Linked DNA regions of Rattus norvegicus. The protein of the gene in region 3 interacts with the protein of the main gene of each other region in a pairwise test. Links are inferred from orthologs where the notes say so. Each region holds a gene or a part of one and is shown on either strand. Other genes may lie near its edges.

Region 1 (3,361 bases), on a different chromosome or scaffold from region 3:
TGTCAGGTGCGGCCAGTGGCAGTCCTGGGGCGGTGTGGCTGAATACCCAGGGCCTAGGGACAATTCCTGTTGGGGAGGAAGAGGGTAAAGACTCATGATGTGACACCCCCAAGGCTATGAGCATAACCTTCAAAGCAGTGAGGAGGCAAGGTATGTGAATTGGATCCAGCACTGGCTTGTAGGATGTTAGATTTGAGCAAGTTGCTTAACCTCACCCAGCCCCAGTTTCCCTGTCTAAATGGGGATAGCTGTTACTCCCTAAAGGGGTTATGAAGATTAAATAAGACGAAAGGGATAAAGTACTTAGAATAATGCCTGTCACCTAGGAAATGCCATATAAGTGCCTGCTTTTATGGTTGTCCTAATTCACTGGATTCAGGCCAGGCAGGGAGCCACCCAAGCAGAAGATGCTAGAACTCACGATTTGGGGGGACCCAACCGTTTCTAGCCTTCTGTCTTTGTCTAGGCATTCGGGGCACGGCAGCGGCGCTGGCCAGGAGAACGAGAGGACTGTGCCTCTCACGCACAGCAGGCCACACAGCGTGTCCAGCGGGCTCAACAGCTGCTACAACTGCAAGTGTTCCAGCTGCAGCAAGAGAAGCGCCAGTTGCAGGATGACTTCGCCCAGCTGCTGCAGGAGCGAGAGCAGCTGGAGCGCCGCTGTGCTACTTTTGAAAGGGAGCAGCAGGAACTTGGGCCACGGCTAGAGGAGACCAAATGGGAGGTATGCAAGATGGGCACTGGGTGGGCTGGAGGGATGGCTCAACGCTTAAGAGCACTGACTGCTCTTCCAGAGGTCCTGAGTTCAATTCCCAGCAACCACATGGTGGCTCACAACCATCTGTAAACTTCTGGTGTGTCTGAAGACAGCTACAATGTTCTGATATACATAAAAAATAAATATATTAAAAATAAAGATGGGTACTGGGCAGGCTGAAGGGGTTACACTAAGATACACAGAGGTGTGGCCAGTGTTTAGCTACCTTCCAGGGTCTGTCCTTCCTATTCTTTCTGTGTTGGGGGTTTCCCTGTTCCTCTGTTGTTCTCAGAGTTGTGATCTAGCACCCACATAGCTAGTGGTGTTTCCTTCTATGATAGATGGGTACTGTTAATCCCTCTGTTTCCACTCCTGCAGCCTCCGTCTCCAGGCCTGGGCCTTGTTTATACAGCATCTGGTATAAGGATCCCAGCACTGAAAAGAAATGACCTGGGTCTCTGTTCCCCTATCACCTCTTTTTTTTTTTTTTTTTAACATTTATTTATTATGTATAGTCATACAGCTTTCTACCTGCATGTATGCCTGCAGGCCAGAAGAGGGCACCAGACCTGATTATAGATGGTTATGAGCCACCATGTGGTTGCTGGGAATTGAACTCAGGACCTCTGGAAGAGCAGACAGTGCTCTTAACCTCTGAGCCATCTCTCCAGCCCCCCCCCCCCTTTCACCTCTTAATAGAAGTATAACCATGGACGTATCACTAGGCTCTCCTGCTGGGCTTCTGTGTGTAAACTCCTGAGACAGCATTTCCTTGAATGCCCGGTGCCCAACACCCAGAGGCCTCACCATCTTCCCTCAATACTTTTCACCTACAGGTGTGTCAGAAATCAGGTGAGATCTCCCTTCTGAAGCAGCAACTGAAGGAATCTCAGGCAGAGCTGGTCCAGAAGGGTAGTGAGCTGGTGGCGCTGCGGGTGGCCCTTCGAGAGGCCCGGGCTGCCTTGCGGGTCAGTGAGGGCCGTGCCCGGGGCCTGCAGGAGGCAGCCCGAGCTCGGGAGCTGGAGCTGGAGGCCTGCTCACAGGAGCTACAGCGGTACCGCCAGGAGGCTGAGCAGCTCCGGGAGAAGGCTAGGCATTTGGATGCTGAAGCAGCAGGACTCCGGGAGCCCCCTGTACCCCCGGCTACCACCGACCCGTTCCTCCTGGCGGAGAGTGATGAGGCTAAGGTGCAGCGGGCAGCCGCTGGGACAGGGGGTAGCCTGCGGGCTCAGGTGGAACGGTTGCGCCAAGAACTGCAGCGGGAGCAGCGGCGGGGAGATGAACAACGGAACAGCTTTGAGGGGGAGCGGCTGGCCTGGCAGGCGGAGAAGGAACAGGTGATCCGCTACCAGAAGCAGCTGCAGCACAACTATGTCCAGATGTACCGGCGTAACCGACAGCTGGAGCAGGAACTGCAGCAACTGAGCCTAGAGCTGGAGGCCCGGGAGCTTGCTGATTTGGGCTTGTCGGAGCCGGCCCCTTGCATCTGTCTGGAGGAGATCACTGCCACTGAAATCTAGGACTTTGCAAGGGGTGCGAGCCACCGCACCACCTGCACCGGGATCCATCGAGCAAGCGCTCCAGGTCTCAGAGCCAAAAGGCCTCTGCCGAGCATTCGGGTGGCCCCATAACTTGGAGAAGCAGAATCAACCCCCCTGCAGTTCAGTGTCACTGTCACCCAGAGGCTCCTGCCTACGCTGCCATTTCACTCCCCACCGCCGCCACTGCCAGTCCACTCCAGCTGGGAAAGGAAAGGGGGCTAACCTGTCCCCACATTCTACCTGCCTGAAGCCAGAGAGAACCAGATGGCACCAGCTGCCCCAGATGTGCCTGCCCTCAATATGCCCACGTGGAGGGGCGGGACTAGGAATGGGGCTGATCCCCATGTCCCAGCTCCGCAAGCCTCTTGTGGGCTGAGGGGGCTGAAGTCAGACCAAAGGAAGAACTCAGCAATGTCTTGTTTATTTGTGTTCGTGACCAAGCCGCCCTCCCTAGTTCCAGGGTTATGGCCTCGTTCCCACTTGTATATTTTTCACACTGTAAATTTCTTGTACAAACCCAAAGGGGAAAAAAATTAAAAAAAAAAAGTTTTGTTAAAAAAAAAGGCTTGATGGATAAACTCTAGGGGAATTTGTTTGACATCCTGTCTCCTCTGCTTGCTGGCTACCCACCTACCTGTGATGGAGTTCTTAGGACTAATCCAGTAGGAATCCCGGGCCCTGGTGGACGACACCATGAGTCGTGAGGAACTAGAAAAGCCTTTCCTTCTGTCCTTTGCACTGAACACTGCTTGAGGCTGGGGGATGAATGCAGTGACCTTGACGACTCAGTTTAAGCCCCTCAGATTATGGTGAGCCAGGTCCATCGTGAAAAACCTCACACCAGTTACAGGCTTCAGACTTGAGTGTCTGTCTCCTCACTGGGAGGCAGTTCCAGGATTAGGGAATGCAACTGGCTTAGGTTGCCCACTAGTACACCTTGTAATTGGATATCCAGCTTATCTTGAAAGGCCAGAGCCCTTTTGACAGCCCAGTGGATCAGAGCCACCCAAGTATGGCAGTGCTCTCGGTGGTCAAATGGATAGGACAGGTATATGGAACCTGG
Region 2 (3,845 bases), on a different chromosome or scaffold from region 3:
TTAAAAAAAAATAACAAGACAAAAACCATAATTCAATATACATATCCCTAAGATATATTTGGGCTCATTATGAATCAAAGCCAGTAGTTTCACAGACTTTTCTTTGATTTCTATATTAACATTAGAACTCTGTACTTATGACTCAAAGAAGTTCGTCCCCACGAGTTATTCCATAGCTCCCTCCATTTAAAGGACACAATTAAAAAACTTAAATAAGAAATTTTTAAAAAGGGACACAATTTGGATGGAATTATGCGAATGTATCTTTAAGACGTAGATATGATTTCTATCATTCAAGGATTTCATTTTTTTTCTTTCTATTACTTGATTTTTCTTGCTATTTCTGTTAGGATGATCTTATACCAAAATGTGGATTGGATTACGTTAAACATGAGTCTTGAGTAAGTCCATTTCCACGGTGAGCACAAAGGTTAGAAGGCAAATGGCAGTTCTAATCAGAGTTAACTGAAGTTAATATAGCTTTAAAACACTGTGCTTTGATACTTTTATCTAATTCTCAAGTGAATCTGTGTAAGACCAACATGTCATGAGGCTAGAGTAATACTCCAGACCTGGCCGGGGGCTGTCAGTGGAGAGCGTTGCACACTAGCTCTGTAGAGAGCTGTAGCCGATGCATTGAAACCAACCTAAGTCGATGGGTTCGTATGAGTGTAAGGGCTGTTTTACCATCGAGAAATGAAGGGCAAAGAGGATAAAGTTTCTCCATATGACTCAGATTACAGTAACAGCAAGAGAATTCAAAGCCCTATTAACTAAAAAATATGTGATGTAAAATATAATTTCTAATGACAAAAAAACCCAAAATTGTTAATAATAGCTGGACAATTTTACTTATTGGTATTTACCTTCACTTTAACTTATACTGTACAACATGCTGGAACACAATAAATTAAAATAAACAGGGCTGAGGAGATGGCTCAGTGGTTAAGAGTCCTTGCTTATCTTCCGGAGGGCCCAGGTTCAATTCCCAGTATGCACAACTTAGAACTGTCTATAACTCCAATCCCAGGCAAAGACTGCCATCAAAGACACTGCGCACACACATACATGCAGATAAAAGCCCACACACAAAATGATATATTACAAAAGGATAGAATAGATAGAATAATAATTTACTAATATTAATAGTATACCTTTAATTGACTTGATAAATAATAAATTTCAAATTAAAAAATTAGAATTTGAAATCACTAATTAATTAATTAATCACTAATTAAGACTGAAACAAGTTGTAATCCAATTTTTTAACTACCATCTTCAATTTTCTGATACCCTGATATATAGTACATTATCAAAACGTGAGTTAGAAGCATTGAAAAATATATTGTATGTAAATAAAAATTATCTTGATGATTTGTAGTATTCAACATATTTACATGCTAAAGTGAGAAAATGTTTTTTTAAACACTGACCCAGTTACGCAAGTAAAATTCTGTGATGCTGCCAGACTCTTTTATACCTTTAGTTACATCCCGCATGCAAATCACACAACTATGTTAGGTTAAAGAAACTGAGAGGGAGACTTGCAGTCACCATTTTTAAATGTAACTCTTTATAATTTGCTTTAGTGAGGACAAGGCCTCACTATTTCATAAGCAATTTGGAAATTTCATATGAGGCTTGTTTTAAATATATAAATATTTTACTTTCTGATTGGTTGAACACTCATGTACAAGGGAAAGTCATAAAAGATATGGAATCTTAAGGCCCAATAAGTATGTACAAACAGTCACACCCATAGACACACACATAGGCATGTACACACACATGCATATGCACGTGGATGCATCCAAACACACACATACAGGCATGTACACACACTCACACACTCACATATGCACACACATACATGCGCACACACATACATGCATACACACATACATGGATATATACACAAGCACACACTCACATGCACATACATGTGCATACATATGTACACACATACATGCATGCAAGCACAAGCACACACACACACACACACACACACTCTGGGTGGGGTATGACTGTAGTCCTGTCATGTTCATACTTTATCTTTCTTTCATCATCACCTCTTAGATTGGATTTCACAAACATTTCTTTCTAGAAATGTGTCATTTCTGCATCTCATAATAATTATATATTGGAACCAAAAAGAATAGAAATATTAACCATGAAAAATTTGGAGCATGAAAATCCCTATAACAAATCATCTACGCCAAGGATTGCAGTATAATTAATTGGCAATATAACATTTTATATATGATTAGAATACTTGTTATTTGTATATTTCTTCATTTTCAATGTGTGTGTCTTACATCATTACTTTACAGTTACGTATGAGTTTTACATCCGTGTTCTCATCAGCGACATTTCTCCATATTTGGGGGTAAAATGATTGCCACCAGGGAAAGTGGCTAGCCAGTTTCCTTTCAGTGAAGTGAAATCTCATTCCCGTTCCCCTTGTCCTTTCCAACAGATCACGAGTCCCCTAGAAGTTACTCGTCTACTCTGACTGACTTGGGAAGAAGTGTATCACGGGAACGAAGAGGAACTCCAGAAAAAGAGGTAGTAAGTTGAACAGCATTAGAGTGTTTTTAAAGGACCTTCTGAGAAAGCACTTACTAGCCAGTTAAGTACCTCAAACCTGTAAATAATTGAGCCCAAAACCAGACAGTCACAAGAGCCTAGAAGCAGTTCTGCTTAGAGGCTGAGTCTAGGGCCCACACTCCCCTCACTTCCTCTTTGGAATGCACTTTGGGCAGTGAGCCCTTTCTCAGTCTTGACCTGGTACTCATGAACGAATAGAATTCTAATCGGCTTGCTTTGTGTAGGGCAAGTGACCTATACAAGTACTTTTGTTGGAGAATTCTTCTGAAAGCAGACACAGATTTTTATCAATCAAGTTCTTGTAGCATTAAGAAGTTTTTATGCACCAGTGACTCCTGCTTCCTCACACTTAACCAGAGCTAGAATGCCTATGCCTTGGAAACCACGAGGGCTTTGACTGACAGCTCCTGGGATAGCCTTGGGACCCTTATGGAATCAGAATTTCTCCAAGTTTCTTGATGCTCACTAGAATCACAGGGGAAGAAAAATGGAGTGAAGGAATTACTGATTGGCAGGAAGGGAAGGACTGATGTCACTAACTACGTGGTACATTGTGCCTCAACTAGACTGATGGCCCAAGAGTTTGAGGGCAGGCATGGGTATTGCCTCATAACTAAAAGATAAGTCAAAGGATTCCTCAACCCTGCATTCCTATATGTTTGGCTAACCTCTTGGTAACTGGGCTATTTCCTGGATAGTCAGTATTTAGTGAAGACTATAACTTCCTTTGTGTGTTTTGTTTCTTATGACGCAGGCAGACTAGTGTCAATCCATAGAAGTTAGCTAGCCCCCCACAGCTGTCTATCTGTGTATTCAAAAATGGCACACGTAGGACAGACTGCTTCCTGGGTATTTTCTTGTATTGCAGCATTAATCTACTTTAGTTCCTAAACCGAAGCCTGATGATAAAACCAGCTATGTCCTGGTTTAGCTCAGTGCTCTGTGGGTAGCACTAAATGATACATCTGTAACTTGTGCATCTTACTTCAGTTACATGTGGTTTAGAGTCCTTATGTGAAATCTTATTTTTTTTTAAATTGGTGCGAAATGTTTGTTTACCTTTCTTTCCAGAAATTGCCTGCAAAAGCTGTCTATGATTTCAAAGCTCAGACTTCTAAGTAAGTAGAATAAAAATTCACTATGTGTTTGAACCTCATATTTACTACTGTTGTGAGGTGTGTGTGTGTGTGTGTGTGTGTGTGTGTGAATGAGTGTGTTACAAATAAGATTCAATGTTC
Region 3 (4,191 bases):
GTGCCTTTGTTTACTTGTTAGAATCCAGTATAGTTTTCAAGAAGCCCTCTTTATCAAAGGGAAGCTGAATGAACTCTATTCCCTGCAAGCCACTGTCCCTAACAAAAACAGAGTAGGCTTTCCTACTCCCTCCCTTCCAGAGTACCTATGCTAGCATCCCAAGGAATCCCTGGGGTGACTCAAAGCCCCTGAGTAAAGGGCCAACAGGCCCAGTGCTGCACAATCATTCAGATGTTCCTTTAATATCACTCTCCAACAAGCAAATAGACACAGGGGAGAATTCAGAATTGGGAGAGACCAGCCCCTGACTACTGCCACCTGTAATGACAGGGATGCTAATACATGAACACATTAAGGGCCAGATGTGCTGCTGGGGGTTGGCCAATGGGTCCTATAGTTCTGGAGCCTGTGGAAATGGCATACGTCTCTATGGCAACTCAGCTCAGTCCAAGGGGTACCCTGTGCTAGAACAGACTGAGAAGTCTTCCTCCTGTGGTTCAGTCATATCAAGTGGGCTACCTTCTTGCCCTCTTGCAAAATAATGACAAAGGCCTTGCTTTCTCCCCACCGATATGCTTTGGACAAATGAAACAAAATAGACTAAGAAGTTCACACCACCCAAGAGGACTGTTCATCTAATGCCACTTACCAGATGGTGTCCGTGTCTAGAAACTTCACAGCTGCCCGGATCAGCTGATCTTTGTTTCGCTGGGTTGGGTTGTCCAAGGATGTATTGCACAATGTGGTCTTGATAGAAAGGTAGAAAATGCTGTCACTCACCTGTGGGGTTCAGGTGTGCATACACTGGATCTGACACATCTGACAGCACAACAGAGCCATGCATTACCGCTATCATCACAGCCACAGCAGCAGCTTATCTGCTGGGGGATCTGAAAACCAGGCTCCGTCTTCAAACTCTACTGTGCTCATGGGGTTCACTAGACTCTCACAGTGGTCTTTCTTAGAGTAGGGAACTTTCTCAAAGTTTCAGGGCTTTATGTATTTTCATATTCACGACTATCAGGTTAACCTGCATAACAATGCTTTGGGGCAGATGCTACTATTCTACCTTTTACAGAAATGTGAAAATTGAGGCCCATAGAGGTAAAATACATACTCAAATACAATAAAGGCATGAAACTCAAAATAACTGAGAGCTTTACCAGCTTGTTGGACACTTCAGAAAACAAGTCAGCAGATTGAACTGGGATCAAGATATTTCCTTAGTGTTACCTCATCAATAAGAGGTTCCTAAGGCTGCTCTAGGCCTCAGTTTGTGGCCTTGTCACCCTGATTACACTAGATAGTCAAGAAATAGACTATGCTGTTAGGCCCATCTGGGTCTGCAGTGAGTATGACGAGAACACCTAGCCCCAGTACTAGCTGGTGCCTTCCTTAGAACCACATGAGGGCTGCATGCACTGTTATCATCTGACCACCCATGGCACAATAAGGTGGGCAGTACAGCGGGGACCATGGGGCTAAGGAAGGGTGACCATTCTGTAAGGCTGAGGAGGGCTTCATCCTCCTTTCCTCACCCATCTGGTGCCTGGGTCCCGTACCCCACCAATGTTCAGTGAGATTCAGGTATACTTGCAACTGGAACTACTGAGGAAAAAGACATGGCCACTACTCTTCTGTCACTAACCAAGCTATGAAAGACACAGGTAATAAACATGTAAATAGAAACAGACTGCTACAGTGGTGATGCAGCACATGATTATCTGTAATGAGAAATAAAGGCTGCACTCAGGTGAGGCTGCACACACCTTTGGTCCCAGTACTTAGGAGGCAGAGGCAGGCAGACTTCTGTGAGTTCAAGGTCAGACTGTTCTACCGAGCAAATTCCTAAACAGCCAGAACTATATAAACAAAACAAACTGTTTCAAAATAATAATAATAATGATAATGATAAAAATAAAAATAAAAATAAAATAAAGATGAGAGATGTGGCTAAGACATGGAGGGTTTGCCTAGCATTCATAAACCCTGGGCTCAACCCTCAGCACTGCATAAACAGGACATGGAGACACATGAGTCATCTCAGTACTCAGGCCGTAAAAGCACAAGTTCAAGGTCATTTGCAGCTATAAATCAAGTTTGAGGCCTGCCTAAGACACAAGACTCTGTCTCAAAAAACCAAAATCAACCAAACAACAAAGATAAAATGGGATAGGGGATGGAGGGGGAGAACTAGGAGTCATTAATGGTGACTTCTGTCCAGAGACCAGGGGAAAAACCAGTCACACACTACTCAGCCCAGTGCTCCAAGTAGAGCGAACTACAAGTGGCCAGGCCAGGCAAGGAAAGAACTTGGCCTGTTCAGTGACAGATGGTTTAAGTATGGCTGCAGGTAGGCAGATAGGAGCCTTGTCTATCCCAGAGTCTTGTCATAATATGGAAGGAACTGTATATTTTTGCCAGGAAGGCTTGGTGAGCATCAGATGGAAATTTGTATGATAAAAATTTGCTTGCTACAAGCTTGTTACCAGGTGCATGGTGTAGAACTTGATGGTATCCTGCTGGGAGTCCCATTCAGTGGCCACCGCAATAGCCAGGGCCTCGCTGGGGACGGTAAAAAGCTTGGCTTGGGGAGTTTTCAGCTTTCTGTGGTCCAGGTTTATCTCAAAGCCACCTTAAAAGATCAAATGAAAGTTCTCAGGGAATGTGGATTCGAGTGACCATATCTGTATTTGGTGCACACAAAGACAACGCTGACAAAAGTGCCACCATCATCTGGCTGGAGACAAAAAGTGTACCCCAACCATTCACAATAAGGCCATCAGATTTTCAGATACTTACCTTCACCCTGTGAGATGCTGACATTCTGATAAAACCTCTTCCTTTCTGTAAGACAGATTTTTCAAAGACAATTTAAAATAGAATCAAGAGACCTCCAAAGGCAACACCAACTCGTATCATTATTGCTAATGCTGATTGATTGGCTTCATTTTCATATCACCATCCAAGGTCTGCCCTGGTCTGCAGTATAATCAACGGCTTCTGATTAAAGCTTGGAAAAGGGAACAACCACACTCCAGGGACAAGTGAAGACCAGGACTCACTGGTTATGCCTCTCCTAGTATCCAAGCTGGGAGACGACTCTGATCAAGAGCCAGTGGAGCCTCAGACTGTGACCCGAGAACTTCCAACACCTGCTTTAGCAGCCAGTATGCCCACGCGCGCTGCCCCCAGGCCAGCACAATGGACCTGAATGGAAAGTTGGTTTGTGAATGGAATAGAACCAGAGGCTCCTTTCAGGCAGATGCCTCTGAGGAAGGAAGCCAATGTGTGCTTATGTACACATGAATGTAAATTTGTGATGTACAGGCAGAAAATAAAGCTACCAAAAACATTTCCCATCTTCTCTAATTCATTTATCTAATTAACCAGCTAGCTCGTGTATTCAACAGGAACTCCAAATACTTCCTTTAAGAAGGGCGATCTGGGGGGCTGGGGATTTAGCTCAGTGGTAGAGCACTTACCTAGGAAGCGCAAGGCCCTGGGTTCGGTCCCCAGCTCCGAAAAAAAGAACCAAAAAAAAAAAAAAGGGCGATCTGTTTTGTATATCTTTGTTAGAATTACAAGAACTTAGAGAAACTTATGTGTGCAAGGCAGGGGGAGGAAACTGGGAAGGGTCTGATAATGAATAAGACATAAAAATCTTTGTCTTCATGCACTTTAAATTTTTTATAAAGTTATCAGACCTCCAAAAGAGGCATGGAAGAGGGGAACTTGTTGGAAAAAGGGGGTATAGGGGGAAGGGAATGGAAGAATAATGGAGAAGAATATTATCACATTATCAAAGATTGGCCACTAAAGGCTCATTCATGTATCTGCCTGCTTGGTGGGTCTAGTTGGTGCACTGTTGAGAATGGTTGGGAAGTGAGGCCTTGGTGAAGGAGGTGTGATCCTGGGGTGGGCTTTGAGGTTTCAAAGCTTATGGCAGGCCCTGTCTCTGTCTCTCAAGATGTAGCTCTCAGCTACTTCTCTAGCACCAGGCCTGCCACTGTGCTTTCTACCATGATAATGGTCTAACCCTTTAAAACTATAAGCAAGCTTCCCACTAAATACCTTCTTTTGTAAGAGCTGCTTTGGTCATGATGTCTCCTCACAGCAATAGAACACCAACTAAGACAATATGTATGTATAAAATTGCAAAAGAATAATTCTAATAATTATCAGCTCTGG

What was found.
Region 1: the proteins of Atpaf2 (region 3) and Lzts2 interact in binary tests that used the Homo sapiens proteins (3 or more experiments, as listed by UniProt). The two-hybrid records come from large-scale screens. The link is inferred for Rattus norvegicus from reciprocal best matches to the Homo sapiens genes ATPAF2 and LZTS2.
Region 2: the proteins of Atpaf2 (region 3) and Sorbs2 interact in binary tests that used the Homo sapiens proteins (3 or more experiments, as listed by UniProt). The two-hybrid records come from large-scale screens. The link is inferred for Rattus norvegicus from reciprocal best matches to the Homo sapiens genes ATPAF2 and SORBS2.

Annotation. Positions count from the first base shown.
Region 1 is NC_086019.1:253,834,754-253,838,114, forward strand, and holds the end of Lzts2 (leucine zipper putative tumor suppressor 2), read left to right. Parts: coding exon 1-6; intron 7-466; coding exon 467-724; intron 725-1,593; coding exon 1,594-2,277; 3' UTR 2,278-2,861; downstream 2,862-3,361. UniProt on the Homo sapiens protein: Negative regulator of katanin-mediated microtubule severing and release from the centrosome. Required for central spindle formation and the completion of cytokinesis.
Region 2 is NC_086034.1:53,194,984-53,198,828, reverse strand, and holds part of Sorbs2 (sorbin and SH3 domain-containing protein 2), read left to right. Parts: intron 1-2,476; coding exon 2,477-2,568; intron 2,569-3,678; coding exon 3,679-3,725; intron 3,726-3,845. UniProt on the Homo sapiens protein: Adapter protein that plays a role in the assembling of signaling complexes, being a link between ABL kinases and actin cytoskeleton. Can form complex with ABL1 and CBL, thus promoting ubiquitination and degradation of ABL1.
Region 3 is NC_086028.1:45,710,078-45,714,268, forward strand, and holds part of Atpaf2 (ATP synthase mitochondrial F1 complex assembly factor 2), read right to left. Parts: intron 3,211-4,191; exon of another isoform or gene 3,066-3,210; intron 2,848-3,065; coding exon 2,803-2,847; intron 2,636-2,802; coding exon 2,490-2,635; intron 748-2,489; coding exon 650-747; intron 1-649. UniProt on the Homo sapiens protein: Plays a role in the assembly of the F1 component of the mitochondrial ATP synthase (ATPase).